Linked DNA regions of Macaca fascicularis. The protein of the gene in region 1 interacts with the protein of each later gene in a pairwise test. Links are inferred from orthologs where the notes say so. Each region holds a gene or a part of one and is shown in the gene's direction. Other genes may lie near its edges.

Region 1 (3,007 bases):
CCACCATATCCGGCTAATTTTTGTATTTTTAGTAAAGATGGGTTTCACCATGTTGGCCAGGCTGGTCTCCAACTCCTGACCTCAGGTGATCTGCCCACCTTGGCCTCCCTAAGTGCTGGGATTACAGGCATCAGCCACCATACCCTCTCTTTTAAGCGTTTTGTATTTATCATCTTATTTAATCCTCATGACAACCTTATCAGGTAGGCACATACTATTATTATTCCCATTTAACAGATGGGGAAATTGAGGCAAGGAGAAGCTAAGTAACTTACTCAAGATCACAGAACTCTAAGTGGTAGAAAAAGAAGGCAAACACAGCAGGCAGCCTGACTCAGTGTCCTCAACATCTAACTACACTGCCTCTCTGAGGAAAAAAAAACCAGTACCCCATTAGCACCTTAAAGCTGCTGGGCAAATCTAACAGCCTGATTGGCAGCACTGGTTTGAGCTTCGTTACGTCAGTGGGGCTGTGCTTACTCTCTGAACTGACCAGAAAACAGAGCAAGATGTTGCAGGAGTAATCATGCCTTTCAAACAGAATTCAGGGGAGTTCTTGTGGTGGATACAGCCCACCCAGTAGAGCCTCAGAAAGTCTCTCCTCTAACAGGCCACATTAGAGGGGACACCAGGTATTTGAAAACCAGGAAGAAAGGTGTGGGATTGAAGGAGGCAAGGTCACATCACACCTGTACAATTTCTCAAGACTCAGTAATTTAGGGCAGGCACAGTGGCTCACACCTGTAATCCCAACACTTTGTAATCCCAGCTACTGGGGAGGCTGAGGCAGGAGAAACACTTAAACCCAGGAGGCGGAGGTTGCAGTGAGCCAAAATCGCACCACTGCACTCCAGCCTGGGTGACAGAGCGAGACTCTGTCTCAAAAAAAAAAAAAAAAAAGAAGAGAGGCTGGCACATAGTAAAGGCACTATAAATATAGATGTTAGCTATTGTTATTTACTTATTTATTTTTTTGAGACGTGTTGCCCAAGCTGGAGTTCAATGGCATGATCTCGGCCCACTGTAACCTCCGCCTCCTGTGTTCAAGGGATTCTCCTGCCTCAGCCTCCTGAGTAGCTGGGTTACAGGAGCACAACACCACCACCATGCCCAGCTAATTTTTTGTTGTTTTAATAGAAACAGGGTTTCACCATGTTAGCCAGGCTGGTCTTGAACTCCTGACCACAGGTGATCCACCTGCCTCCTCGGCCTCCCAAAGTGCTAGAATTACAGGCGTGAGCCACTGCACCCAGCCAGCTATTATTTGTTTTTTTGAGACAGAGTCTCGCTCTTGTTGCCCAGGCTGGAGTGCGGTAGCCCGATCTCGACTCACTGCAACCTCCGCCTCCCGGGTTCAAGTGATTCTCCTGCCTCAGCCTGCCGACTAGCTGGGACTACAGGCACGCGCCACTGCACCCAGCTAATTTTTATATTTTTAGTAGAGACGAGGTTTCACCATGGTGGCCAGACTGTCTTGATCTCTTGACCTCATGATCCACCCACCTTGGCCTCCCAAAATGCTGGCACTACAGGCATGAGCTACTGCGCCTGGCCAGCTGTTGTTATTTTTAAGTGCTCTCTTATTCATACTTGGGTAGACTTGCTGTAATCTGTAGTGATAAGATGGGAAGGCCCCAGGAGCCAGGTTTTCCCAGTGCCTGACTCTGGCTAATAATCCTCTGCCCTGCTAATGTCACTGCTTCTCTTGTTTTCTTTGTGGGTAGGGTGATGGCAGGTAAGGGATGCTAGAAGAGTAAGAAGGGACCCTGAAACTGCCTCCTTCCAACCTGACACCTGTCCTTCTCTTTGTTCAGGCCGCAGGCATGGTTTTGGTCAACTGATGTTTGCAGATGGTGGCACCTACCTGGGTCATTTTGAGAATGGGCTCTTTAATGGCTTTGGGGTATTGACCTTCTCAGATGGTTCAAGGTGGGTATGAGGTCATTCCTTTCTTAGCCTTAAATAAGGGAGGGTCTGACATAAAAATGGGACACTGGTAAATATCTGGTCAATCCTGAGCTTGTCTCACTCCCTGCAGAACACAGATGAGGACTAAGTAGTCCTTTTATTGGTTATTTTTTAAGTGGACCTAAAATTTGAAATGTCAACCAAGTGAGTGACTTTCCACCCCACTCCCATTCCCATCCTATCTTCTTTCGTTGAGATCAGGGCTTCATGGCATATATACTCTGATCCTTCTCTGCTGGCTGGGACTAGATGGGGTAGATGGAGCTATGTGACAGGTGGAATCGGCTTGCTTCTTGGCATTATTAAATAACAGAGATCCGCAGCTGCTCAACTCCATTAATCTGGACAGCTAACTTCCCACTGAAGGCTAACTTCTGGTGTTTCTGCAGGTATGAGGGGGAGTTTGCCCAGGGCAAGTTTAATGGCGTCGGAGTCTTCATTCGATACGACAACATGACGTTTGAGGGGGAATTTAAAAATGGCAGAGTAGATGGTTTTGGTAAGTTGCAGCCCAGCAGGGTGGGTGACTTAGGTGGGCATAATATGGGTGGAAATATACCTGTTTCGTTTTAATCCTGCGGGGGTCCAGCAATCCATAGCGGCCATCCCTGACGCCTATCCATTGAACTCACCAATAGAGTGCTCCTGAGTAGAGCTGCGAGTTTTTCTCTTCTTCAGCCTCAACATATCGAGCTCACCTTTGAGGCATTAACGCCATTGTTACTCCCATGTTTTCTCTGCCCTCCTCAAGGCCTGCTGACTTTCCCCGATGGTTCTCATGGAATCCCCCGCAATGAAGGTCTCTTTGAGAACAACAAGCTGCTGCGGCGTGAGAAGTGTTCTGCCGTCGTTCAGCGGGCCCAGAGCGCCTCCAAGTCAGCCAGAAATCTCACTGCCTGACAGCGCGGTGGGCACCAGCTGACAAGTATTGGGTAAAGCCAGTGCGCCCCTTGTTGACTCGAGGTGAACAAATGAACCAGAGCTGAGATGAGTTGACAATGACAGTGGAGCAGAGGTCTTGTATGTGCCCTGTCACCTG
Region 2 (4,241 bases), on another chromosome or scaffold:
TTTAGTAGAGATGGGATTTCTCCATGTTGGTCAGGTTGGTCTTGAATTCCCGAATATCTTTTACATTCTCCATTTTGAGGCCTGCTTGACCTCTTATATGTAGGTAACCTTTTTATCTCAAACTCTGTCACTTCTAGTCAGTTCTTAACATTCACTAATACTTCTTAAAGGTTAGCATAGTGTCCGTTACTCCTGCAGCGTCTTCAGTTTTTGGTCCAACCTTAACGTCTCATCACCAGATTTCAGTCAGCAAAAGTATGTGGCAAATCAGGGAGATCTTTCTCCAGTGATTAAACCTTCCTCACCCCCATTACTCAGCCAGTGGGTAGTATCCTGTATAATTCTTCATAATTCAGATGTTTAAGTGGACTAACAACGATCTCTTGAATATATTTTCTAGTTTTAAAAGATCCATTTTTCTAGCTCCCTTTTCTCTTTCATTTTTGTAGGGAAAGATTTTTGAAGCATTATAGCGAGAGAAATAAGATGTAATGTTTGGAATGCCTAGGTAGCATCCAGGTTTCATTTATTATTTGACCTACTTACTTGTAGCTAAAACATATACCAAAAATTCAGGTAAAATGAGTTTGTTGTTTTGTTTTTTGGTTTTTTAGAGGCAGGGTCTTGTTGCCCAGGCTGGTCTTGAACTCCTGGGCTTAAACAGTCATCCCACTTTGGCCTTAACAAAGTATTGGGATTACAGGTGTGAGCCACTGTGCCCAGCCAAATTTTTAATTTTCATTTTGTGGTTACAGAGTTCTGTTCAATCTGAGAAATGTGCAATAATTACTCATTTTTCTTTTTTTGAGACAGAGTCTCGCTCTGTTTACAGGCTGGAGTGCAGTGGTGCCATCTTGGCTCACTGCAACCTCCACCTCCCGGGTTCAAGCGATTCTCCTGCCTCAGCCTCCTGAGTAGCTGGGACTACAGGCATGTAACACCACGCCCAGCTAATTTTTGTATTTTTAGTAGAGACAGGGTTTCACCATGTTGGCCAGGATGGTCTCGATCTCTTGATCTTGTGATCTGCCCACCTCGGCCTCCCAAAGTGCTGGGATTACATACAGGTATGAGCCACTGCGCCTGGCCAATAATTTTTCTAACAGATTCGTAGTATTCTAATAGGCTTTAAAATGTTCAGAAGACAAGTTGTGCTTCCTTGAAACAGTTACTGGCAAGTAGCTTTTGAGGATTGGAAGGGGCTAGAATCACCATGAGCCAGATCCTGGGCCATTCCCCTGTCTGCTCTGCCTCTGAATCCCTGACCTCTACTAGCCGTTGCTGACCTCAACTACTGATAGAGTTCTTCAGACTCAGTTGCTCCCTCATCCTGCTGATCTCTATGTGAGAGCAGTCGAATCAGCCCTTCTTTCTTTTCAGCTTTTGTCTTCCTTTTTACCCCAGCAAGATTTTTATTGTTCAAATTAGTGAAGCGTATCTTTCTACCTTCCTGAATATTAATGACAAATTAGAACTACTTTATGTAGATGTGGGTTATTATGACATATATCCATTTTAGTATTGTTTCCCCATGTTCTTTATCCTGCTTTGATTCTGTATGATCATATATCAGTAAAGTTTGCTACTTCTTTATGATTTCATGTTTTGGCAGAATACAAAGAAAAATATCTCCAGTTGTATACAAAAGTACATGAGGAAAATAGAATTAACAGTTGCTTCTATTAAGTACTTCAGAGATTATTTCACAAATGTGTTTCTTTAAGCAGCCTAGGGTTAGAAACAAGTTGATCTAATGTCAAATATCAGTTCTGCCTCTTAGTTGTAATGCTGCTTCTCTAAGCCTCAGTTTTCCTACATTGTAATGAGCTGAGGGTTAAATAACGTGTGAAAACATCCAACACATTAGACAGCTATTGATATCTCCTCAGACAGCTTCATGACTCTTGTCATTAACTGTATTTGGATTCAAATTCAGGTTTAGAGCGAGCTGAATTTAGGAGTCTCTGTCTTTTTCTTTTTTTTTTTTCCAAGACATTTATGTTAAATACTGGGTCATATGTGCATAAGACACAGCACAGAAATGCTTCGGATGCGGCTCCCTCTGGAAATCAAACTGAAGACTACTTGCCTGAGCATCTAAAGCCATTGTAAGGTGGTAGCCTTTCCTCTTCATCTCTCTCCACTTGTAGGTTATTTCTGATGTTGAAGAAGATGCCGGGGAACTGAGCAGAGAGAGCATGTGGGACCTTTCCTGTGAAACTGTGAGAGAGCAGCTTACAAACAGCATCAGAAAACAGTGGAGAATTTTGAAAAGTCATGTAGAAAAACTTGATAACCAAGGTAACCACTGCTTCTCTGCATGTAAAGTGAGTTGTGACATTTGGTAAGGTGTTGATTTTCAGTCACTTAGAAAGCTATATCTGTAGGCTCAGAGCTAAAGTACTATATACTTCAGTTTGGTGGTTTGAAAGCAAGATTTTGCATACATTTATTTTTTCATTTTATTTTATTTTACTTCCTGACACAGAACCTTGCTCTGTCACCCAGGCTGGAGTGTAGTGGTGCGATCTCGGCTCACTGTAACCTCCGCCTCCCAGGTTCAAGTGATTTCTCCTGCCTCAGCCTCCTGAGCAGCTAGGACTATAGGCGCGCATCACAGCCAGCTAATTTTTTGGTGTGTTTTTAGTGGAGATGGGGTTTCGCTGTGTTGGCCAGGCTCATCTTGAACTCCTGGCCTCAAGTGATTCACCTGCCTTGGCCTCTCCAAAGTGTCCAGATTACAGGTGTGAGCCACAGTGCACAGCCAAGATTTTACATACATTTAGATGTGAGGTTTGAACCTCACTGAGAAAAATACACTTTGGTCTCAGGGTGAATGTTTGAAAAGAGGACATCATGGATCCATCTGCTCTGGATGCAGTATACAATCGAATAAAGATAACTGAGCCGGGATAAAAGACTACACATTGGATATAGTGTATACTGCTTGGGTGATGGGTGCACCAAAATCTCAGAAATCACCACCAAAGATCTTATTCGTGTAACCACACACCACCTGTTCCCCCCCAAAAAAGAGAGAAAACTGAGTCTTTTTTACTGACTCTCAAAAAATCAAGAAATATTTATCATAGTATAGATAGGAACTTTTTGCTTATTTCTAGATGCTTGCAGATTACTGTGTTCCTAGTAATTCACTTAAAATTATTTTTAAAATAATAGATGTTTAATGCAAAATATTAATTTGGAAGTACATAAAGTAGAATATCCAGGTCTCCATTCCATACATATAACACTTAACAGTTGGGTGTATATTTTTCTAGACTTTCCTCTATGGATTTGCAAGATACTTATTTTTAAAATTTTTTTAAAAATTGAATGTCACCTATATTTTTGTTTAGTGTGCTTTTTTCACTTTATTATTTCAGACATTCTTTTTCCTTATACATAGCTCTACATTGATGAATATATTCTTAATATTTTCTACTTGGTAAAGTTTGCTTTTAAATTAGGAAAATGAAGATTTCTGCTCTGTAAATGAAGCCTATGTAAAGAAAAAATTTAAATTGTCAAAATATGAACTCAATGCCATTATGTTAAGTAGTAAAGAGCAATCGGCAAAATTATTATTACAACACCAAAATGAATATACTCGAGATTTTGTTCATTTGAGTCAGTGCTGTCTACTAGCAAATAGCAAGTGTGTTTGGACTTCGTGTTTGTTGAATTTAATATTTGAGAGCAAGATTTGTGACACGTCATTGATCTTTGAAGCAGTGTCAACAAAAACATAATGATTTTATTTTTCTCTTCTCTGAATATGGCCATTTTGTCTGTTTTTAATTAGGACATAATCTTGAATAAATATGGTTTACAAATTAAATCTTGGCAATAGAGCTCCATTTGTAAGCATATCATTTAGTCTTAAAATTGTACAAATATATAATTGTCATGAACTCCTGTAGTTGCTGTGCTGCTTAAAAATTTTTTATAATGTTAAAATAATATAAATGTAATTTTGTTATAGCTTATGAAATTTTAAAAAGCCAAAGGACATAACTACTTTTTAGAAAACCTATAAAATTCTAGAAAGATAAAAGTTCTGAGAGCCCTTATTTTAACGATATGTGTAGAAACACTGTAAACTAAATGGTGGCTATAAAACCTATGTCAACTTACTGATTTTGTCTTAGTTTCAAAGGTACACCTGGAAGGTTTTAATGATGAAGATGTTATCTCACGACAAGACCACGAACAAGAAACTGAAAAACTTGAGTTAGAAA
Region 3 (4,983 bases), on another chromosome or scaffold:
TAATAGCGTAATAAAGTGCACCTTCTAGGAGATTTTACAATTTTTTAAAGAATATAGAAGTTCTCCTTATTCGTTTAAAGAAATGAAAATGAGAACCAAAATATAATTACAAAGATCATCATTACGCCTTATTTATAATGACAAAAGCGTTGGCATATATGTTGTGTAACCAGAAAAACCTGCAAGGTTTTTTTTTTTTTAGAATATGGTTTGGCCGGGCGCGTTGGCTCACGCCTGTAATCTCAACACTTTGGGAAGCTGAGGCGGGCGGATCACAAGGTCAAGAGTTCGAGACCAGCCTGGCCAATCTGGCGAAACCCCGTCTCTACTAAAAATACAGAAAAAATTAGCTGAGTGTGGTGGTGGGCGCCTGTAGTCCCAGCCACTTCAGAGGCTGAGGCAGGAGAGTCATTTGAGCCGGGAAGGCAGAGGTTGCAGCGAGCTGAGATAGCGCCACTGCACACCAGCCTGGGTGACAGAGTGGCACTCCGTCTGAAAAAAAGAATATGGTTTGTGACCGGGTGCAGTAGCTCAGGCCTGTAATCCCAGCACTTTGAGAGGCCGAGACAGGTGGATCACAAGGTCAGGAGTTCAAGACCAGCCTGGCCAATATGGTGAAACCCCGTCTTTACTAATAAAAATACAAAAATTAGCGGGACGTGCTGGCGGTCACCTGTAGTCCCAGCTACTCGGGAGGCTGAGGCAGGAGAATCGCTTGAACCCGGGAGGCGGAGGTTGCAGTGAGCTGAGATCACGCCACTGGTCTCCAGCTTGGGTGACAGAGCAAGAGACCCTGTCCCAAAAAAAAAAAAAAAAGATATGGTTTGTATTTACTTGTAGTTGAATAAAAAATCTCTGCAATTATTCACAAGAAACAGATGATACTGGTTTCCTCTGAGATAGAGAACCTAGTTACAGGAGAAAGGGGTAAGGGGTGGGAGGCAGACTTATTGCTATGTATTTTATTTTGTAGTTTGATTTTTGAACCTTGCTAATGTATTACCTGTTAAAAATTTTTTAAAGGCCGGGCGCGGTGGCTCATACCTCTAATCCCAGCACTTTGGGAGGCCGAGGTGGGTGGATCATGAGGTCAGGAGATCGAGACCATCCTGGCTAACACAGTGAAATCCCGTCTCTACTAAAAATAGAAAAATTAGCCGGGTGTGGTGGCGGGCGCCTGTAGTCCCAGCTACTCAGGAGGCTGAGGCAGGAGAATGGTGTGAACCCGGGAGGCAGAGCTTGCAGTGAGCAGAGATCATGCCACTGCACTCCAACCTGGGCGACAAAGCAAGACTCTGTCTCAAAAAAAAAAAAAAAGTATGTCTAAGTAGTTAATTTTGTTAGAAAGGAAAAGGATGATTTCAGCCTTCAGGTCTTATTAATGAAAGAGTCTTTAGAAAAGAGAAAAGATATCTCAGAGAAAGCAAGAAAGACGCCATGAACCCCAGGGAAGGTCTTTTGGGGGAAATCCACGTTTGGATGAAGCTGTGGCTGTAGAGGATGGTCTGGGAATTACTGGCCTGAAATAGTCACCAGGAACCTTAGCAGATACATTTTATTTTTAAAATTTAAACCAAAATAATTTAACAAAACGAAGGACTTTCTACTCTTGAGGTTTTAAACTGCATGGCAGCTTTTTTATTTAGTGAGGCTTTTCAGCAAAGGGTAAGGCTTCTGTGGAGTACAGAGCCTATGCTAGTAGATTGGACAGCTTTCCAAGGAAATGATGTGCACACAGCAATTGAGCACCTTGGATCATCTGACAATTCTAATTTTAGACTTTAGTTCCCTTGATCCTTAAGTATACAGACCAATGTGGTCTGAATTTAGTTCAGAAAATATAGCCATCATTGGATTAAGTCAGGGGTCTACCATCGACCTGCTGTTAATAGGAAGTCAGTTACAGAACTGGCTGGGATGGAAGGACACAAAATGAGATATGTTGGTGAAGAATTGAAGTATAGGGAACCAAACTCAAAACTGTAATGTGTTGGGAATCTGAGAAAGAATTTACAAATAGCCCTAAAGGGCGAACATCAGTTGTGTTGCCAAACTGTAGTTTGAAGGGAATTCCTGGTTTTTGCGTAGTTACTAGAACCCTTCATGGAATATCTCTCCCCACCCTCACCCCACTTTCCCCTCTCCCCTCCCCCACAGCAGACTGCCTTGAGTTCCATATTCTAGTTCTGTTTGATCTGATCTTTACCTTCCCTTCCTTGGATCCCTGTGCACCTACTTGGAGCCAGGTTACTCTGGGTCCTGGACCTGACTGCCTCATTCTGGAGGCTTCCAGACAGCCACGGTTAGTGCCCAAAGCTGAGAGGATGGCTTCAGATGGAGGTAAGTCTTTAGGTGGTGAGGAGGATTTCTGGTACCTGCTCAAATCCTTTGGGACAAGCTCTTTGGGCTGACCTAAAGGAATGCGAGGTGCTACACCCCATCAAAGGTATCCCACTTGGGGAGGCTAGAGAAGGAGACTGTACCATTAAGACTAGGGGCCGGGGAAGGAAGAGGACCTCCTTAAGGGCAGATCAAGGTGTCTCCGAGGACACATGCTGAGTATAGAGAATGGATGGCAATTAGCAACTTGATTCTCTTGAACAGGGGGCACGTCAGCGTGTGTTCTTGTGGTGGGAGAGGGGATCAGAGGTATGTGTCTTAGGACTGGCACCGAGAGGTTTCAAGGGGGAATGCCCACGTTCATTCATCTGTCTCTTTCAGGCAACTGGAGCCTATTCTAGGATTTTGCCATGCTTGAGCCTATGAGGGGAATGGGATGTGGAGGATGGAGGATGGGAGGGTAAGGTGGGAAGGACTTTAGCGGGAAAACATAATCTGTAGTTATCCGTTGCAGAGAAATGCCTTCCTGAAAACTAGGCTGGAATGTATTATAAACTGCCTCTACTCTGGCCGGGCACGGTGGCTCATGCCTGTAATCCCAGCACTTTGGGAGGCCGAGGCGGGCGGATCACCTGAGGTCAGGAGTTCAAGACCAGCCTGACCAACATGGAGAAACCCCATCTCTACTAAAACTACAAAAAAAAAAAAAAAAAAAAAAAAAAAAAGCCGGGCATGGTGGCGCATGCCTGTAATCTCAGCTACTCGGGAGGCTGAGGCAGGAGAATCCCGTGAACCTGAGAGGCAGAGGTTGTGGTGAGCCAAGATTGTGTCATTGCACTCTAGCCTAGGCAACAAGAGCGAAACTCGGTCTCAAAAAAAAAAAAAAAAGAAAAATCCTGCCTCTGCTCAGAGCCTCACGGCTCCTTCCAGCCCTAGAGGTGGCTTCGCTTTGAGTTCAGGAAGCAGTTTTTCCGGATTCATCCGGGCCAGAGAGGTGGGTCATTACAGCCAGGATGAGATCTGGGGCTTCACCGAGATGCTCTTAGTTTTTCTTCCTTTTATGGATCTCAGGCCTTCAGGCCCCTTTCATTGTGTTCTGTACTCAGCGACATACCCTCAGCCCTTTGCTCTGTGGCTGAAATGAGTTTGAATCTGAGTTTGCTTGTGTGCCATGGTCAGAATGCAGAAGTTGGGTGTTGTTAGTTTGACAGTGTAATATTTTTTGTAAGGGGGAGGAGATTTAAGCAGGTGATATTCTGCTGTTGTTTTCCTGTTTTGTTTTTTTGTTTGAGATGGAGTCTCACTGTGTCGCTTACGCTGGAGTGCAGTGGTGTGATGCTAGCTCACTGCAAAGTCTGCCTCCCGAGTTCAAGCAATTCTCTTTCCTCAGCTTCCTGAGCAGCTGGGATACAGGCGCCCACCACCACACCCAGCTAATTTTTGTATTTTTAGAGAGACGGGGTTTCACCAAGTTGGCCAGGCTGGTGTCTAACTCCTGACCTCAAGCGCCTGTAATCTCAGCACTTTGGGAAGCCGAGGGAGGTAGATCACTTGAGGTCAGGAGTTCAAGACCAGCCTGGCCAACATGGTGAAACCCCATCTCTACTAAAAATACAAAAATTAGCTGGGTGTGTTGGCGCCCGCCTGTAATCCCAGCTACTAGGGAGGCTGAGGCAGGAGAATCGCTTGAACCCAGGAGGCAGCAGAGGTTGCAGTGAGCTGAAATCGCGCCACTGCACTCCAGCCTCGGTGACAGAGACTCTGTCTCGGGGAAAAAAAAAAAGTCCTAGGAGACATAGGTTCTGATTAAGTACACATTTGTATACTTATCCTTGGTCTCTTTGACTAGAGTCCACATAGCCCCTCCCCAGCTGGAACCAGTGACAATGAAGGACTTCATTGTCCTGTCCTTAGCACCTAGCTCAGTGCCTCGTTCCTAGTGAGCCCTAAATTTCTGATGTTAGGAGCTCCAAGCAGAAGGGCCACAGATAGTCTGCATCGCCAAACACGTCCAGCAGTTACTTAAAGATCTGGAAACCTCTCTCCCCACACCGCCCTCCCTTCACTCATTTCCTTGTCCTTATCTAATCCTCTCTAATTATTCCTGGCTGTTATACAACAAAATTTCTGGGAACCAAACATCCAATCCACATATCCTCTCCTGGGAACAGTACTTCTGTGCGTGGTGGCAGAGGCCACAGAGCAGCTGGGAGAAGCAGGGTTCAGGTGGTTTGAGTCTCTGGTTTGGAATAGGTGAGCATAGGGGATGTACGTGGAATGCTGGGTGGAATGTGTTACAGGATGTCTGAGCTTCATGGGCTCATGCTCCTGCTTATAGATTGAATCTTTCTTCTGTTGTTTTAGGTTAAGAGAGATTTATAAGAAGCAACAGGAAAAGGAAAAGGAGGAGGGAATGAGCCAGTCATATTTTTGAAAGTGCCTCCTTCTCAAAGGCCTTATGGATGCCTCGAGAGGGGCTGGAGCTTACCGTGGACTAGTTCCCTTACTGCACGGAGGCCGCTGTGGGCTGTTTTCCCTGCAGAGCAGGTGTCAACCCAATTCTGTATCTTAGTAAACAGCCTACGGAGAGGCTGGAGAGGTCTGCCAGGAATTTTCTTAGAGAAGCACTTAGAGGGGCCGGGT
Region 4 (4,241 bases), on another chromosome or scaffold:
TGGCTTCTCAAGTCAGAGTCCCTGGTACTCATGGTAGCAGGGGACAGGGGAGGTGACTGAACCTGCGGCCTCAGGCTTTCATAGCAGAAAAGAAAGACAGCATGGTCCAGTGCTCTCAGCTCTGCCCAGAGATTTCTGTTCCCGTATTTCAGGGCTTCTCCATTTCAACACTAGCAGCATTATGGCTGGACCATTCCTGGTTTCTGAGGAGTCACCCTGGACACTGCAGGGTGCTGAGCAGCATCACTGGCCTCCACCCACCCAATGCTCCTGACATCTGACAACCACAAATGTCCCCAGACGTGGCCAGTATTCCCTGTGGGGTAGAATCGCCCCCATTAAGAACTGTCACCTTTTTTTTTTTAAGTGGGGCAGGGTGGGGTGACGACACAGTCTTCCCTCCTGAAAAGGAGCAAAGCATCTGCCACCTCTTGGCTGCCCTCCAGGCATGTGGTCCTAGTTTGGAGACTGTGGGGTGGGGAGGGGCTGGCGGTGGTTGGGAACAGTGGCCCTGGACCATGCACTGGGACTCTAGGAAGACCAGGGTCAGCCAGCAGCACCTTTCTCAGCCATAGACGTGGAATGTGCTGCAGCATCTCTAGAAACTCCACTGGCCAGAAGTTTCTTTCAGAGCCCAAGAGGCGGCATCGGTGGCTATGTCTAGAGACATTTGTGGTTGTCAAAACTGGGAGGTACTTCTGGAGGCCAGGGATGCCACTCCACCCGTCGCAGTGCCCAGGATAGCCACACCACAGGGAATGATCTGGGCCCAATGGCAATATGTCAGTAGTGTCGATGGGGAGGGCCCTCGAAATAGAAACCTCTCTAGCATGCAGAAAGGACCGGCTCACGTTTTCTGCTTTCCTTTCTGTTACTCACCGTCCAACAGAAGCCCAAGTCGAGAAGCATGGAAAGTTGATGTTGCTGTCGCCATGGCTTTAGGCAAAATAATGAGTCCCTCAGGGGCTGCTCCCTCCAAGGAGGAAAGGAGGGCAAGAGGCGGGGAAGGGCTTGGCCCGTGGAGCTCAGGCCCTGTGGAGTCTCTGCCTTGAGTCTGGGGAAACAGCTGCTTTGAATTTGGTGGGGTCGGCTTCTTGCAAAAGTCAGAGGCTTGCGTGCACTTCGCAGTCTCAGTCAAATCCCAGCCTCTCCTTCCAGGGCAAACGTGAGCCATGGATTCTTTTTTTTTCTTTGGACACAGAGCCTTGCTGTGCCATCCAGGCTGGAGTGCAGTGGCATGACCTCTGCTCACTGCAGCCTCCACCTCCGGGGTTCAGGTGATTCTTCTGCCTCAGCCTCCCAAATATCTTGGATTACAGGCACCCACTGCCACACCTAGCTAATTTTTTGTATTTTTAGTAGAGGTGGGGTTTCTCCATGTTGGCCAGGCTGGTCTCGAATTACTGACCTCAAGTGATTCCCCCCCAGCCTCAGCCTCCCAAAGTGCTGGGATTACAGGCATGAGCCACTGCGCCCAGCCAGAGCTGTGGTTTCTTAACCCTCTGAGCCTCTGCTTCCTTGTTGGTCCCTAACATCCCCCTCTCAGGCTTCATGAGGATTAAAGGAGATGGTGCATTTGACAGACTCAGCATAGCAACTGGTAGGAAAGAGGCCCTCAAGAAATGCTGTTTCTATCATGTTCATAGTAAACCCCCCAAAACACCAACTTTGTAACATTGTGTTTTCCGTACAAAGCGTTGACCGAGAGGCCAGCTTAGGTGTGGTTTTATAACGAGATGGAAAAGGCTCCTTGAAGCCTCATGAGCTCTCTTTCTGTCTTAACTGTTAAAGCAAAAGGTGGTGGAGTTGATTACAGCCCTGCCCCCCAGCACGTGCACGTGCACGTGCACACCCAGCCGGGTGCAGGAGAGGGCTCATGACTCCCGGCAGCTCCATGCAGCTCAGGGGCTCTGCAGACACCACCCCAGCCCCCACCCCACCCCCGATTACTGAGCGCTTTGTCTCATTCCCAGCTGATCAATGAGAGCGTGGACGAAGCTGACATGGAGAATGCTGGACACCCCAGCGCAGACACGCCAACCGCAACGAACTATTTCCTCCAGTATATCAGTTCCAGGTGTGTGTCTTGGGCCCAGCGGCCAGCCTAGCATGGGGATGCAGGTGGCCGCAAGGGCTTCTGCCACAGAGGGATCTGTGGTCCCCGTGCCTGACTCAGACCCACAATCCAGGTTGCTCTTGGGCCTGTCATTCCCCACTCTGGGCACAACCGTGGGTGGGCCAGGATTGTAGGCCTTGTTCTGTGATTCACTGGACGCCTGAGACAGGACCAGAGTTCTGTGGGCTTGTCCAGGGGCCCATGGAGGATACAGCCCAGCCCTTGGAGTGTGCCCTCTGTCTTGCGGACCTCATGCCCAGAGCAGAACAGAGCAGGCTAGAGGCGACTCCTTATCCTGGGTTTGGGCACCTGGGGCAAAGACCTCAGCATGCCCTTGATTGACGTGGCTGGGGGTGATGCTACCCACGGCCCAGCTGCCCCTCCAGGTATCTCAGAAGAAAGCGTGTCCCGCCTGGGAGATGGGCGGGCGGAGCAGCTGGAAGGTGGCTTCCCTCATGCTGTGGGTCCCTCCGTCAGAGCGAGCTAAGGGCTCATGTTTCCAACGGCACAGGGAGGCATGTGGCTTCCTGCCTCTGACACGCCACCCTGTGCACAGTAGGGGAGACCCCTCCACTGTGCCCTCTGCGCCAGTGTGTGCTCCGTGGGTGCCCACACATTTGCCTAGCCACATTCCCACGTGACACCCCCACACTCACTGCACATCTTCTCTTCAGTTTAGAGAACTCAACCAATAGTGCCGACGCCTCCAGCAACAAATTTGTATTTGGCCAGAACATGAGCGAGCGAGTTTTGGTGAGTGGCCGTGTTGGGAATGTTCTTGGGGACCAGAGGTGCTCGGCACCAGCCCCAGATCGAGGGGACATGGAGAGCGGGGCTGCTGTGTTGTCCCTTGTGAGATGGGGATGGCTTCAGTAACAAGTGAGAGAGGGAAGACCCTGCTCAGACTTGGAGTGAAAACTGGCCGGGGCCACTGGCCGCCCAGGAGCTGGCATTCGCTCTTCCCAGCTCCTCCCTGCTGACCAGGGCCAGCTTCATCCCAAGATGGGCTTCCCCAGAGGCTGCAGGGCCCTGCTGGCAGTCAGAGTCCACGGTTCCTCTCCACCAGGCCAACTGACAAAAGTCGTGTGGGACAGGGCTGCCGGCCTCCCTGCTCCTGTGAGCATAACCGCGGCCAAGGCTTTGAGTGCAAGAAAGGCCCGTCTCCGTTCCCAGGAGCCCAGCCAGCCTGGGAGAGGGTTCTAGAATGGCTTGCCTACCTCTTTACATGTGTTCCTTTTCCTTCCTGATTCCACCCAGCTCCACTGTGACTGCGTGAGGGCCTGTCCTGAGCTGCCTGGTCACTCTAGCTGTCTTGAGTTATGCTGCATTAAGGACTCTGCAGCTTCTCTTCCTTTATGGCCACGCTGCCTTTTTTCTATTTCAATGAAATAGTCAAAGTCTTGCCTCACCCAAACGGAGTGTCCAGTGTGGTCCGAGGGGACTGTCGACTGGTGGCACTCACCCCCTGCTGATGCCTGAGGGACCACGTGGGGAGCTCCCAGGCAGTTCAGGGTGTCACCAGGAGCGGGCAGGAGTGCTGGGGGCAGCATGGTGTTGGGGGCCAGGCAGAGAGGTGCTCAGAGCTGCAGCTGAAGGACCGCACAAGCTCCCTCTTCCTTGTATGCCTGCAGAGCCCCCCAAAATTAAACGAGGTCAGTTCAGATGCCAACAGGGAAAATGCAGCTGTCGAGTCAGGGTCTGAGTCCTCGTCCCAGGAGGCCACCCCTGAGAAAGGTATGTTACCGTCTCGCCGCTGCATGGGGCTCATGGTAGGTCATCTTGGGGGATGATGAGGGGATGCTGGGTCCATTCACACCCCCAGCCGGGAGGGATAAGGGGCCCAACTCCCGCAGCAGTAACGACCACACGTCAACCAGCTACTAAGCCAGGGCCGTGACCTCCAGGGTCCTGCCTTGCAGTGAGCAGAGACAGGGGTTTATGATAAGACTGTTACTCGAGGGGCTGTGTCGCCTTGTGGCTGTGGGGAGGGTGGGGAGGCGCAGACAGCAGGCGTGGAGGAGTCCCTCACTGTCCCCCTGTCCTCTGCTCAGCAGGAACAGGAGAGTCTAGGGCCACACTTGGCCCCCAGATGGTCTCCCTGCAGCTTCCAAGACCGTGTGCCCTG
Region 5 (4,686 bases), on another chromosome or scaffold:
GTCAAGCGATGTACTGTGCCGTACGTGTTATTTAATGTGCAAGTGTAAAAGTCAAGTTCCCTGCAGAAATCGAAGTGCCTCCCCTCAGTCTTCTGAGAATGTATAAATTAACCATTCTCCCCTAAGCGGTCCTCCTCCCTGCCTCCCTCCGCCCTATTTTAAATGTAGATAGGGCGACCTAAGTCTTTTGAATTTGAAGGGCTGCTATCTCGGCCCCATTCTTTTCATCATCCTGTTTTGAATGACACTGAGCACGTATAGATTCTTCTATAAAAGCACCCCCTGGATGCAGGGCTTGGTTTTTCAGACTGCTGGCTTAATTTTGCATAGCAATTAGTACTGACTTCTCTAAACCAGCAATCCAAATACAACTCGAGAATGTTCCACGTAGTTCCTCAAACTTAACCCTGTGCCTTTTGATTTCAAGCCCGAAGGGGAGGAACTTGCATAATTACTAAATTCCCAATTGGAGTGGTCAGGAGGAGGGTACGGTAATCCCAAACTATACGTTAATTCAAACCCTCGCCGCGACTGGGCAGCAAGGAGCCAACATATGCCTTCTTTAAAAAATCTATTCTACCTATTCACTGCCCGCGCAGGGCCGTGCCACATGGTCCTCCCTTGCAACCAGTCAGCTGTGAGCAGCAGATGGGATCATTTGCATTTTTCTTTTTATACTTTCTTTGATCGGCAAATTAAAGGATTTTTCTTAAATTTACATCCTCATTGTTTGCCTAAAATACAAACGTGGCTAAACTGTTGAATTGGGCTTCCCTGACTCTCACCCAACACCTCCCCCTCCCCCCACCCAGCCACTGAGACTTGAGAAAATACCCGAAGGGTAGATTTCATATTTTATCAACTGGGAATCTACAGTCCAAGAGTTAGGAGTAGACAGAATGAGCCTTTATTGAGTTGGTGACTCGTGTTTTTCTATTTTAGGCGCTCGGCGCAGACAGCCCGTGGGTTTGTGTTTGTGGGGTGTGTGTCTGTGAGCGCGGGCGCTTCCGAAGCTCTCGCTCCGCAGCCTCACCCCCCAGAACTTCGGGTTGCAAGTAGCAGGCAAGATTTTAGCTCCCAGGCTCACAACAGAGGGCGGCCACCGTGCAGGGGGAGTGGCCAGAGCCAGCTTTTCCCAGCGCCAGGGTCGCTCTCCCGCGTCCCGCCGGACTCCATGCCGCCCCGCGGGGCCGCAGAAGCCACCCAGGCCCTCGCACCCCAAGGTCTTTGTGCCGGTCGCGGCGCGGGAAGACCGGCTTCGGGGGCCTGGGCTGCGGCCCAAAAGCCAAAAATGCGGGAGAGGCGTGGGCGCGAGGCGGGAGAAGCTCCGCACAGTCGCCGTCCCGCAAGGGGCAAAAAAGTAGAAAAAGAGGCGTTTGGGGCCAAACTCTCGGGTCTGAGAAACCACGTTTCCGAGGACGGACTCGCGGTGGGAGGACATAGGGGGTACAAGGGACATCGTTCGCGGCGCCCGCCCGCCGCGCCGTGGGTGCCCGGCCGCCGCCCCCGCCCCCGCCCCGGGCAGCCAGCGTGGGCCCACGTGGAGCGACTGCGCCCGCCGAGCTCGCCTGGCCGCCTGGGTCCCCGGAGTGCGCGCCCGAGCTCCCCGCCGCGGCCGTTCACGACCGAGCGCCGCCGCCGCCGGTCCCGCGTGTGCCCCGCTGAGGGGGAGGGGCGGGCCGGGGGTGGGGGCGGAGGGGTTGTGGTTCCACTGCAGCGGGGGCTCCTGTGTCCTTGTGCGGAAATGACACACGGAGTCCCGTCACGTCACGCGAGAGCGCAGCGCACGGACACACACAAAGAGAGGGGAAAATACACGGCGCTCGCCCGCCCGCCGCCCCCAGCGCCTCCCCGGGCCGCCCCGGCCAGGCCCTCCGCGCGCGGCCCCCACTCCCCGGCCCCGCGCCCTCCCCCCACGTGGCGCCCAAACTCGGCGCGGGCCCGCCCGGCAAAGTACAGAACTCGCGTCCCAGGTAAGTGCGGGGCGGATCAAGCCGGCCGCGCGGCGGCGGCAGCGTTGGCGGCTCCGGGGCGAGCAGCCGGGAGAGTGGCTGCAACATCCATGCCGGGGTGGGGGCGGGAGCAGGGGAGGGGACGCGGAGGGGGGCTGCTCGAAGCGCGCCTGCCGGTAGTAGCGCCCACCCCCGCGCGGGCCGAGCCACCGGAGCGGGCGCTGGGCGCCCACGGGCTCGCCGCGCCCATTGTGCTGCGCGCCCCTTTGTGCCCGCTCGGAACGCGGCGACTCCATGGCGTTCCGGGGAGCACGCGCGCCGCGCGGGGACGGGGGGTTCGCGCGGTGGAACCGTCCGCGCCGCCGCCGCCGCCCGCCCCACTCGCGCCGCGCGCCGGCCCCGCACCCCCGCCGGGCGCCGCGATGGAGCGGCCGGGGCGGCCGGAAGGCTCTGCCGGGCTCGCGGCAGCTTGGCGCTGGCGCTCGGCGGGGCTGTGGCGGGGCACTGCTCGGCGTGTGGAAGCGGGTGTCGGAGCTGGAGCAGGGGGCGGGGACTGGAGGGAGATGCCGGGCGGCGAGCGGGAGGCCGGGGGAGCCGCCGCTCGGAGGAACCAAGCCTACGGAGGCTGCAAATGGAGTGAGGCCGGCCCGCGGCGGCGGCGGCCGGGAGCGGAGAGGGATGGGCCCCGCCGCCAGGGGGCGCAGCGCTCCCTTCCCGGCCGTTCCACGGCGGTTCGCGGTTCCCGCTGCCCGGGAGCTGGAGGCGGGCCCGGCGCCTTGGGTGTGCACCCGGGCTGGCGCGAGGCCTGGCCGGCCGGCAGCAAAGCTAAAGCCTGGGGCGCTCGTGGCTCCTCGTGACCGCCCCTTTCCCTTTATGATAAACGTGGTTTCCCACGCATGCTTTGCCCTCGTCTTATCCGTGAGGTGTGTACCACCGATTTGGAGGCCCTTGTGTGCTTGTGTACCTACGTCTCCCTATGTAGATATTTTAAACGATATTTTTACAGAGATAAAAGTTTTATTGATTGCTCAGGTGGTCTACCTGGAAGAATTCTGCGCGTAAAGGCTAACTCGACAAGAGTGCCGGGAGGAACAAGGTTACTTACTAGAGTTGGAAATGTGCAATTCATCTCCTTAAAGTAACTTTTGAATGGTTAAATGCAAATATTAAACATGCCACAGGGCACCGTGGCATAGTGCCAGAAAGCTACGGTTTCAGGAAACTGAGGTAAGGAAGTGAGTCCTTCAGGCTAGCCAGGTATATAAACGGCCGGGACGGAGGACGTGCTGTTGTTACCCGCTCCCCACTTCCACACTTGAAGTCCGTTTTTCTCTTTTTTTAAAACCATTCATCCTTAGATTTTGGCTTTATACCACAAGAGCCTGTCAAGCTTCCCTCGGTACTGGGACTTGGGCAAGATTTTTTAATCTCCCTCACAGTTTCACATCCCCATCCTCTTACCCAGTGTCTCATAACTTAGTAGACGCTCAGTGCATATTTCCTAAATGAATGGAGAGAGCCTCTTGGATTCTAGAAGAAAGATGGAGCCAGAGCAGCCAGTTGCTGCTGGGTTAGCTGGTGTCTGTGTGGCCCTTGAAATCTGTCACAAAAATCTCCTGTCATGGAAAATGAGTTTTTGTTTGTTTGTTTGTTTTTGAGACGGAGTCTCGCTCTGTCACCCGGGCTGGAGTGCAGTGGCTCCATCCTGGCTCACTGCAAGCTCCACCTCCAGGGTTCAAGCGATTTTCCTGCCTCAGCCTCCCGAGTAGCTGGGATTACAGGCCATGTGTCACCATGCCTTGCTAATTTTTATATTTGTAGTAGAGACGGAGCTTCACCATGTTGCCCAGGCTAGTTTCCCGACCTCAGGTGATCTGCCTGCCTGACCTCCCAAAGTGTTGGGATCACAGGCATCAGCCACCGTGCCCGGCGGGAACATGGTTTTTTGTTTTTGTTTTTTTTGAGACGAGTCTCGCCCTGTCGCCAGGCTGGAATGCAGTGGTGTGATCTTGGCTCACTGCAACCTCCACTTCCGAGGTTCAAGGGATTCTCCTGCCACAGCCTCCCGAGTAGCTGGGACTACAGGCGTGTGCCACCATGCCTGGCTAATTTTTTGTATTTTTGATAGAGACGGGGTTTCACCGTGTTAGCCAGGATAGTCTCGATCTCCTGACCTCATGATCTGCTCGCCTCGGCCTCCCAACGTGTTGGGATTACAGGCGTGAGCCACCTCGCCAGCTTTTTTTTTTTCCCTTGAGACAGAGTTTCGCACCTGTTGCCCAGGCTGACGTGTAATGGCCCGATCTTGGCTCACCGCAACTTATGCCTCCTGGGTTCAAGTGATTCTCCTGCCTCAGCCTCCCAAGTAACTGGGATTACAGGCACCCACCACCACGCCGGGCTAGTTTTATAGTTTTAGTAGAGACGGGTTTTCTCCATATTGGTCAGGCTGGTCTCGAACTCCTGATCTCAGGTCATTCACCAGCCTTAGCCTTCCAAAGTGCTGGGATTACAGCCACCGCGCCCAGCCTTTTTTTTTTTCTTTTTGTTACCAGCGATGCCATCTTCTTGCTGAAGAACTAATATAACAAAGTTTTATGTGATTCCACCCACCTTCCCCATGCCCAGCAAGTTAGGAACTGGCAGACGAGACAGTCAGCATCCCAACAATTAAAAGGTGCCGTATTGACACATTTTCTTTACATCCTCTCCCTTTGGGTACTTTCTTGGCTCC
Region 6 (4,980 bases), on another chromosome or scaffold:
AGTCACTGCGTGGAGGTCACTCCCCTCCCAGTGGCCACCGTGGAGGCATTTTATAGAAATGCTCGCTGGACCATTCAGGTTTAGAGTTGGGACAAAATCGAGAACTCAGAGGATATTGGACAGGAGTTAGGAAATGACTTTTTCACACAACTGGAGCGAGGAGGGGAGAACCCTGGGCTTGAGACTTGCAATCCACCGCCTTCCCCTGTGGTGTGGCCCATTACATTTTCTTGCAACTCTGCCTTCTTAAGTCCAAATGTCTTCGAAAGGGGCAAATGCTTCGTAAGTGCCAACAGGGTGTGTTTCAGTGAATGTTCACAGTGTGCACCAGTCCGGCTGACGGCCTCTTCCCTTCCCCAACACCCTCCCATCAGTGCAAAATTACCCTGCCCAGCAGGGAGTGACATGTGTGTCTCAGATTTTGTTGCTGTGCTCTGAGTACTCCTCATCTCCTTTGACCAGTTTCCTAAAACTCCCCTTGTTCACAGCACAGAACATGAGTGCTCTTTCCTGTCATTTTGACGCTGATAAGCAGCAATTCTCAGTGTGAAAATGAGAATGAAGTTTTTTTTAAAGACAGGCTACAATAATTCCCACACAGAACCACATGCAATGACACTTGTGGTGAAGATGAGGCCAACAGTGAGCTGAGAGAGGCCAGCCAGGATTCACACGTGCGAGGGGATGCATGGGAATGGGGATGGGACATTGGTGGACAGCATCCTCGCTTGTCTCAGAATGGACATGGGTAGTGAATTTCTAACTCCTGGAGAAACCGGAGTTCTAGGAATTGTAAGCTGCTTTATGTTCGGAAAGAAAAAGACGGTGCTCTGCCCTCCTGTCCCTTAAAGCTGCATACTGCCACTAAACCTGGAAGCTGAGAAGGATATAATGGCTACTCCTGACTTCCTCTCATCAAATCAGCCTGCTGTTGTTTTCTGCAATGGTTGTGGTGCAGAATCTTTTCGCGGTGCAGCCAAGATTCACACTTGAGTCTCCTTACTGCAAGTTCTCACTCTCACAGTGGAGAGTTAACAATAATTGCCTAGGCCGGGCGTGGTGGCTCACGCCTGTAATCCCAGCACTTTGGGAGGCCGAGGCAGGCGGATCACAGGGTCAGGAGATCGAGACTCATCCTGGCTAACACGGTGAAACCCCGTCTCTACTAAAAATACAAAAAATTAGCCGGGCATGGTGGTGGCCGCCTGTAGTCCCAGCTACTTGGGAGTCTGAGGCAGGAGAATGGTGTGAACCCAGGAGGTAGAGCTTGCAGTGAGCCAAGATTGCGCCACTGCACTCCAGCCTGGGCGACAGAGTGAGATTCTATCTCAAAAAATAAAATAAAAAATAAAATAAAAACAATAATTGCCTAATATGTTATACTTTTTTGGGAAGAGTTACCAGATAAAGTGCAAGATCCCAGTGAAATGTGAATAACACAGATAAAGAACAGATTTTTTTTGTAAAAGTATACTCTAAATATCATACGGATCATACTTATAGTAAAAATGAATTCGCTGTTTATCTTCAATTCAAATTCCACTTGGTATTCTTTATTCATACTTGCTAAATCTGGCCACTATGTTCTTTCATGTATTTTTAATTTTAAAAAACAGCAACATCTCGTTCTAGCAATTTACCTACAGAAATAAAGACAGGAACCACATTACTGGGACAAACATGGTCACTGCAAGTATCACAAGAATACTGGAACATATATATTAATTTTTACCCAAAAAAACAAAATATTTTTAGACAGCAAAAATAGCTTTATTATGCTTTTGATTGCATAATATATCTCTGGAAAGATGAAAAAGAATCAGATAACACCTGTTTGGTCCAGGAAAGAAAATGTGGTGGCCAGAGAAAAGAGGTATGAGGAAGACTGGTCACTGCCTATTCCACTGTACACAGTTTGAATCTGGAACCATGCAAAAGTATTGCTTAGTTGAGTTAAAATCATGTAAAAGATAAAAAAATAAACATTTAACACCAGCACAATACGCTGGGAAACAAAATGAAAGGATTTCTGGTCTCGGTGCTGTAGGTCGCATAGCCACTCTTTCCTGGACTGAGGCTTCCCAGGAAAGGGGATGGGAAGTAAGGCCTGCCCGCTGCTGTGGACAGAGATTCCAGCAACATACATGACCCGGGGGCACAAGGACTGCCTCGTAAACAATGATGAGCGCACAGCCACCTAATAGCCTGGATCGGCTGAGACCATCCTGATTTCAAACACCCAGTCCCCTTGCCTTCCTAAGAACCCCTGTGTTTCTCAGACTGAAAATGTGTTCTGAATTTTGTCTGGGAAGTGCAGCCCCTGTTGAAATTCATCAAGAGTGGGAAAGAGCCAAAGTGGGAAGGAGCATGGGTTGAATGGCACAAAAGTAGGTCTGTTGATAAAGAATGAAGTAAAGGGGACATCAGGTACAATGAAGTAAAGGGGACATCAGGTACTGTGAGTCAGAAGGACAATTTAAAAGTTGCCTAAAGGGGCCCACACCGTCTGTGTTGCTGCCATCCAGTTGGAAGGGAAACTCAGGTTCTTGCCTACTGGCCAGAGCTCTTCACAGAATGTCCTCCACCCTTGCCAAGCCCAGCTGCCCACCGCCCCTCCCCCTCTGCAGAATGTCTGGGGTCCTATGTTCCAAAGCTATTTACATTCAAATTTTCCCTGCTCCACTTGGACTCAGGAGCATCTGCTGAGCCAGGTCACTCTCTGGGTCCTGCCCTTGACTTTTCTCATTGCGGAAACTGCCAGACAGCAGTGGTCAGTGCCCAGCCTGAGGGGATGGCTTCAAATGGAGGTGAGCCTGTAGGGATGGGGGCATTATCCGAGTCTGCCATGCCTCAACTCCTTGGGAATTCAAATTTGAACTTCCCCTGGGGACAGCTGATAGGGCTGATGTTGAAGAGGGAGGGAGCACTGGATGTCCCCAAAGACATCACAGCTGGGGATGGCCATGGCACCCTGAGTCTGTGGTTAGGGAGGACGGCTCCTTAGAGGTGGACCAAGATGCCTGCGGGAATACACTGTGTAGGGGAAAGGATGGAGTGGATGGATTGATCCTTTCTGGAGGGGGAAAGGTCACGTCATTGTGTGTTTGTAGGGAGTAGTGGGATCATGTTGTACTGGTGGCCACGGGAGGATGACAGGCAAGCCTGAGCCCTGTGTTGTGTCTTCAGGCACCTGGAAGGTGCCCTTCCATAGTGTTCAGAGGGATTTGGACTGGAGTTTTCTAGCTCTGAGGGAGGAGTGGGGAGAAATGATCTCAGCCAGAAAACTGTTGGGTGGGTTGGCTGTGACAGAGTATGCAGTGACAGCCTCTGGGTGGGCGAGGCTGGGGGCTACTATAACTGCCACAGCCCAGAGCCTCTCAGCTCCTCCCCAGAGCTGGCTGCTCCATCAGTTCAGGTAGCTGTTGGCTTTGATGCAACAGGGGTGGGGGCAGATGGGGAAGTTCAGGTAACACATGGCCTGGGCTTCCTGAGTTGTTCTGCATTGTTTGCCCTTTTGTAGAAGCTCAGGTCTTCAGACCCACTTCCTCTTGTCTGCTAGCTCATGGCCCGTCCCCTGCACTTTGTGTTACTGTGGAGATGAAGAATTTGCCCCATTCCACGTATACTACCTCATGAACAGGGGGCAGGTGTGGATTCTTGCTGGTTCTCAGTGGAAGGGTCTGGAAAGGCTGGTTTCCTTTTCAGTAGAGAAAGGAAAGTAGCGCACAAATAGGAAGATGGTTCTCTTATTATTATTCAAGTTAGGATATGTGTCCTGAATGATGAGGTGCATGTGCTGTATCCCTTATTCCCCCTGACTAGAGACTGCATGGGGTCCTAGTGGGCAGGGATGAGTTTCAGACAACTTTGCCTCACCTGGCCCGTGGGCCAGGAACCCCTGGTTCTTGGTTGGTCACTATGTTCAGTTATTGGGAGCTCAAAGGAGAAGGATCAGAGATGCTTCCTTGTCCCACTACCTATTGTAACATAACCAGCAGCTGTGAAAATCCCTGGGCACCTCCCCTGATAGCCCTGCTGCTCACCAGTTGCTGGCTGAGTTCTAATCGTGTGCAGCTGTTGCTGGCTGTGCGGTGACAGTATCTCAGGGGACTCCACCACTGCCTCTCAGACATGCTCCCTGGGAACAGAGCTTCTTGAGTGGCAGCTGGGACCACTGAGCACTGAGGAACGGGTGGCCGGAATCTGACCCCCATTTGGCACTTGTGTGGGTGGTGCCAGGACAATCATTTGCATGCTGGGCATGATGTGTTATGGTTTATCTTTGGGGTTCCTAGGGCACTGGCTTGGGTGAGATTTCCATCCGGTGGTTTTCTTTTTTCTTTTTTTTTTTTTTGAGACAGAGTCTCGCTTTGTCACCCAGACTGGAATGAAGTAGCGTGATCTTGGCTCACTGCAGCCTCTGCCTCCTGGGTTCAAGCAATTCTCCTGCTTCAGCCTCCTGAGTAGCTGGGATTACAGGCATGCGCCATCAGCTAATTTTTGTATTTTAGTAGAGACGGGGTTTCACCATGTTGGCCAGGCTGGTCTTGAACTCCTGACCTCAGGTGATCCGCCCACCTCGACTTCCCATAGTGCTGGGATTGCAGGCATGAACCAGCATGCCCGGCCTATCCAGTGGTTTTCTTTTGTGGTGTTGAGCTAGGAAAGGAGTTTACAGGAGCTTCAGGAAAAGGAAGACTGAAGAGGAGATAGGGCCATAATATTCGGAAGCTTCGGGCTTCCTGCCGGCCTTCTCAGTGCCGAGCACTGCCCTGGGGTAGGCCTGTCTCCTATTGCTGAGCACGCTGAGGACCACCAAGCCGCTGAGAGACTCATCCCTGACCCATGGCTTGGGAGATGCCTGTGATGCTGATGGGGTCTGCCAGGGACACTGAGGGAGACCCTCGGGCAGCGAAGGCTTGGCTGTTCCTTCTTGGGAGACAGGGGTCAGGGAGTCTTGGTGACCGGGGCCCGGCTCTC
Region 7 (4,241 bases), on another chromosome or scaffold:
TACATATTATTACCAGCCTAGAGTCTTGAATGATAGCCTTACTGAGTTCTTCTTGTGAGGTATTTCAGCATCTCAGGGGTAATTTCCGGAAGGGCTCCACACTGTCCCAGTAGGGTGAGGCCAGTAGCAGGAATAATAAATCCCACTTTGTAGACTGGAAAACTGAGCTGTCAAAAGAATCAAGTGTTTGGGGGTTTGCTCTGATGAGTCTTGTAGTTCATTTGGTGAACGTCATGATGATTTTTAACATGCATTTTGCATGCATCCCTCAATAAGAAGAGATGAGACTATCGGCTGGAGAGAAGAAAAGAGGTGTTACGCCTTGGAAGGCCCTTGACTTGCTTTCCAATTTAAGGAGTTGAGAGTTTAAAAATATTCCAGCCCTAGTTTTTATCATGGGTCCCATCTGATAGTGGCTTTGGGAACCTCTGTGAAGTAGAGAGCCCTCCCTTGTTAGGGTTATGAGGCACAGTGGCCTTTGGTGTTTGGCCAGTGACAGTGTGAGAGAGGGAGTTGACCTGGCAATGATCTGTGGCTAACGTGCCGTCTCTCTGCCCTTCCTTTGCAGTAATCCATGGCTGTGTACTGAATAGTATTCCCCGCTACAGCTGGACTGGACTCCATTTAGCCTTTTAAGCCGAGGTTTCTATTTTAACTGACAGCTTTCCTTTGGGGTGCCAGGCAGCCAGGCCCCCCACCCCTACCCTGCCATGTACTTCAAGCTCACCTCTTTTTGAGTTCCGCAACTTGCTCCTGCCTCCCAGCCCCACTGGCACTGACCATGACCACCTTCTATTTTTTTTTTTTTTTTTAGAGTTTCTTTTTTTGATCACTTACTTTCAAAGCACACAGTCAAACAAGGTTATGCCAAATTTCCAGGCCTTTTTGAAGTATTGAGAAGGGGAAGGGGATTTCTCGCTTCGATTATAGATCATAGTAGGAAGCAAAAAGAAAAAAATGAAAAGCAAACATATGCACGTACTTCCTTTTTTTTGTTGGCAAAGCAAAAGTGTAGGTTTGCTGTGTACCGTCTGGTGCTCTACTGATTGGTGAGTGACCAGAGCAAGTATAAAGGTGATGCTGCCAAAGCACAAGCCAGTTTCTTGGGAAAATTCAAGTTACGGTGGAGTATTGTTTTGAAGACCATATGCTTGGAGGTAGAAACAAACCAACAACAACAACAAAAAATCTGCTCAGATACTCAGCCAGTAGCTCAGAGAGATGCTGAGTTAGGCCTGTCAGGTCTCCCTGGGAAAGGCTTCGTATTTGCAACTTTGATGATTCTATGTCCAGCTTCAGAGCTGCTTTCCCAGAAATTCACGCTTAAAAAACCAACTGGTAATTACCACCCCTGACCCCGCCGCCCGGTAATTATTTGCATTACAAACCGGAGGCGCCCTCATTTGCATTTCTGTACAGATTAACTACTTAAGGCTTGAGAAGCTCTGAATACTTCGAAAGTATTAGACCCACACAGCCTTGGAGAGACCTTCAGAAACTAAAGAGGAGTTTTATATTAAGGGAGACATTTTAGTCAGTAAGACGATATAACCTAGTTACTCCGTAAGGGGAAATGAAGGCCCAGAGAAGGGAAGGGACTTGAGCAAGGTCCCAGTGCTGTTTCCAGGCAGAAGCCAGACTAATTTTCATGCCTCCTGACTCCCAATCCATTTCACAAAGGGATTCAGTCTGTTTATATACGTTCCTGGATACGAGGCCTTTTGATGTTCAGAGTAACTGAATAGTTAGTATTAGAAGACCCTCGAGGTTTTTTCCCACAGAAAAACATCTGAAGATGGATTGGGTGAGGGCTGGCAAAATGAAGGCATGCTGGGCCAGCTCCTTAACCCAGTGATGCTGCAAGGCTGGAACGGGGTCCAGGAGACTGTGTGTAACAGGTGCCCTAGGTGACCATTATAATCAGGGAAGTTTGGTAAACAAAAATCAAACCCATGAGTGAACATAAAAAGTTGATCAAGCCCATTAAAATGGGTATTTCATTGGGTGGCTTTATTCACTGTAGACAGAAAGATTTTTTCCTTCTTCAATGAAAAGGTGTTTTAATTAGTACAACTAGGCCGGGCGCGGTGGCTCAAGCCTGTAATCCCAGCACTTTGGGAGGCCGAGAGGGGCGGATCACGAGGTCAGGAGATCGAGACCATTCTGGCTAACACAGTGAAACCCCATCTCTACTAAAAAAATACAAAAAAACTAGCCAGGTGAGGTGGTGGGCGCCTGTAATCCCAGCTACTCTGGAGGCTGAGGCAGGAGAATGGCGTAAACCCAGGAGGCGGAGCTTGCAGTGAGCTGAGATCCGGCCACTGCACTCCAGCCTGGGCGACAGAGTGAGACTCCGTCTCAACAACAACAACAAAAAATTAGTACAACTGTTACTATTTAAAAAAAAAATACCCTAAGTACTCTGTTTACTTCTGGTGAAACAAAACCAGTCATTAGCAATGGTCTGTGCTTTTATTTTCCCAGACTGGAGTGGCTTTTCTGAAATACACACACACACACACACACGTACACACATCCCTCACTTCTCCTAAGCCAAGAAGTTTGCTTTCCCTAGCTGCAGTGTAGATGGCTCTTGTTTTTGTTTTTATGTTTTAATCATTTGGCATTCACATGTGGCTGTTAATAATGTGCTTGTTTTTAATTAAAACAAGAAGCTTTAAACTGGTGTGTGGTGTTCTTAAAACCTTCTCAGCAGATTTCCCTGTGGTGATGGCCCAACAGTGACCCCCATTTCTAACCTGTCTTCTCAAACTATAATCTGTGCTACCTCAGTACTGCCCATTCCCCTCCCCCTGTCTTACTTTGAATGTCCTCTTTCTTTGGCTAATCTCATGTTTTCTTTCTCTTTCTCTCTCCCTCTCCAGCTTTTTTTAATCTTGTCTTCAGCAGCTGCACTAAGTCTAAAGGAGAAGACTGCCATTATAGAAGAGTTAGGGTTCCATATTGTCTCAAATCAGAAATCAACCAATTCCCTCTCCCCTCAAACTGCAAGCACACACACATACGCCACACCACCCAACAAGTGTTCATGTGTCCCTGTGTCCAGGCAAGAAGCTCTCTTCCCGACTCACATGGTATTTTAAATGGAAGTGTCTTGTCCTAACTAACAAGGCAGGAAAAGAACCATCAGAGCTGGAAAATGGACCAAATGTAACCTCAGAGAAACAACTACAGGACCACTCACCCAAGTGTAAGTGACTGGGGCAGGACACTTCAGCTGTGGGTGTGGAAGTACTGTTCTGTTCACAAGGTTTTGTTTGCGTTTTGTGTTTTTCTTTTAAACATTTCTCTGGTTCGATGGGTTGACTGTCTACGGCCACTGTTAAAATATTTCTGAATATGGAAGAGAAAGTCAAGTGACATTTTTATCTTCTTCAGCATTTACAGACCTTCTATAGATTCCAGCAAAGGGGAAAAATGTGTCCACTATCTAACACTCAGGTGGAGAAGGGAGAGAAGGGAGAGAAGGGAGGGGGTTTAAGCTTAGTGAGGGCAAAATTACTCCATTCCACCTTCTGAGACCAGTTGGGGTTTTGAGAGAGGTTTCTGCTCAACCTGGGATCTGGAGGGAGAGCTTTGATGTTGGTAAATCTGCCTTGAATTCATTGGTTTAACTTGCATCAAAATACCATGTGAGTGTGCTCATTCTCATAGATCCCTACCATCATCACCACCATTCTGCTGTTCAGTGTCTCTTGAGAGAGCCTCTTTGCATGTTTTCCAGAATCTGTGTGTGCTTTTCCTTTCTTCTCCTTTGTTCTTTTTGCTCAAAGGTGTGACCAGTCACTGCCCCTCTGGGGCTTTCATTCTCCAGGAGAAACATCCCAGAACCAGCACTGTTTAGCTTACTACCTTTCTAATGTCCATGTCAATTTTCAATAAAATTCAAAGAAATGCTGAATGGCTGTGTGGTCTGATCTTAAGTCACTGGGTGATGCGGCCCACCACGGTTTGCCTGAGGAGGAGTGGGTGGCTGCCTTCTGAATGGGTGATTTGAAGGGCTCAGGGAGGCACCGTCAGCCTATGAAATCTTCCTAGGTGGGTTGCCATCCCCTGTGCCCGCCCCCTCTAACTTTCTTCCATCTGGGCCTGAAATTCCCACCACCTGGGGTGGAGGTGTGCAGGAAGTCCTCTACTTTTTCTTTATTAGCATGGATTTAACTAAGTTGAGCTGATTATCATCTAGTATATTAGATGGAGAAAGTAGAGTGCCAGAGCCT

Evidence for each region.
Region 2: the proteins of MORN4 (region 1) and SSX2IP interact in binary tests that used the Homo sapiens proteins (3 or more experiments, as listed by UniProt). The two-hybrid records come from large-scale screens. The link is inferred for Macaca fascicularis from reciprocal best matches to the Homo sapiens genes MORN4 and SSX2IP.
Region 3: the proteins of MORN4 (region 1) and NUTM1 interact in binary tests that used the Homo sapiens proteins (3 or more experiments, as listed by UniProt). The two-hybrid records come from large-scale screens. The link is inferred for Macaca fascicularis from reciprocal best matches to the Homo sapiens genes MORN4 and NUTM1.
Region 4: the proteins of MORN4 (region 1) and RANBP3 interact in a two-hybrid assay, tested with the Homo sapiens proteins (2 studies listed by BioGRID). The two-hybrid records come from large-scale screens. The link is inferred for Macaca fascicularis from reciprocal best matches to the Homo sapiens genes MORN4 and RANBP3.
Region 5: the proteins of MORN4 (region 1) and BEND3 interact in binary tests that used the Homo sapiens proteins (3 or more experiments, as listed by UniProt). The two-hybrid records come from large-scale screens. The link is inferred for Macaca fascicularis from reciprocal best matches to the Homo sapiens genes MORN4 and BEND3.
Region 6: the proteins of MORN4 (region 1) and NUTM2F interact in a two-hybrid assay, tested with the Homo sapiens proteins (2 studies listed by BioGRID). The two-hybrid records come from large-scale screens. The link is inferred for Macaca fascicularis from reciprocal best matches to the Homo sapiens genes MORN4 and NUTM2F.
Region 7: the proteins of MORN4 (region 1) and SEPTIN6 interact in binary tests that used the Homo sapiens proteins (3 or more experiments, as listed by UniProt). The two-hybrid records come from large-scale screens. The link is inferred for Macaca fascicularis from reciprocal best matches to the Homo sapiens genes MORN4 and SEPTIN6.

The regions. Positions count from the first base shown.
Region 1 is NC_088383.1:106,562,152-106,565,158, reverse strand, and holds part of MORN4 (MORN repeat-containing protein 4), read left to right. Parts: intron 1-1,814; coding exon 1,815-1,929; intron 1,930-2,357; coding exon 2,358-2,467; intron 2,468-2,719; coding exon 2,720-2,868; 3' UTR 2,869-3,007. UniProt on the Homo sapiens protein: Plays a role in promoting axonal degeneration following neuronal injury by toxic insult or trauma.
Region 2 is NC_088375.1:149,992,107-149,996,347, forward strand, and holds part of SSX2IP (afadin- and alpha-actinin-binding protein), read left to right. Parts: intron 1-2,150; coding exon 2,151-2,301; intron 2,302-4,151; coding exon 4,152-4,241. UniProt on the Homo sapiens protein: Belongs to an adhesion system, which plays a role in the organization of homotypic, interneuronal and heterotypic cell-cell adherens junctions (AJs).
Region 3 is NC_088381.1:10,631,193-10,636,175, forward strand, and holds the start of NUTM1 (NUT family member 1), read left to right. Parts: upstream 1-1,935; 5' UTR 1,936-1,985; coding exon 1,986-2,340; intron 2,341-4,983. UniProt on the Homo sapiens protein: Plays a role in the regulation of proliferation. Regulates TERT expression by modulating SP1 binding to TERT promoter binding sites.
Region 4 is NC_088393.1:6,705,089-6,709,329, reverse strand, and holds part of RANBP3 (ran-binding protein 3), read left to right. Parts: intron 1-1,973; coding exon 1,974-2,077; intron 2,078-2,790; coding exon 2,791-2,869; intron 2,870-3,747; coding exon 3,748-3,850; intron 3,851-4,241. UniProt on the Homo sapiens protein: Acts as a cofactor for XPO1/CRM1-mediated nuclear export, perhaps as export complex scaffolding protein. Bound to XPO1/CRM1, stabilizes the XPO1/CRM1-cargo interaction. In the absence of Ran-bound GTP prevents binding of XPO1/CRM1 to the nuclear pore complex.
Region 5 is NC_088378.1:68,134,746-68,139,431, forward strand, and holds the start of BEND3 (BEN domain-containing protein 3), read left to right. Parts: upstream 1-1,586; 5' UTR 1,587-1,973; intron 1,974-4,686. UniProt on the Homo sapiens protein: Transcriptional repressor which associates with the NoRC (nucleolar remodeling complex) complex and plays a key role in repressing rDNA transcription.
Region 6 is NC_088389.1:124,462,645-124,467,624, reverse strand, and holds the start of NUTM2F (NUT family member 2F), read left to right. Parts: upstream 1-1,808; coding exon 1,809-1,873; intron 1,874-3,520; coding exon 3,521-3,678; intron 3,679-4,980.
Region 7 is NC_088395.1:125,956,348-125,960,588, reverse strand, and holds the end of SEPTIN6 (septin-6), read left to right. Parts: exon of another isoform or gene 1-568; coding exon of another isoform or gene 569-636; exon of another isoform or gene 637-2,885; coding exon 2,886-3,124; 3' UTR 3,125-3,922; downstream 3,923-4,241. UniProt on the Homo sapiens protein: Filament-forming cytoskeletal GTPase. Required for normal organization of the actin cytoskeleton. Involved in cytokinesis. May play a role in HCV RNA replication.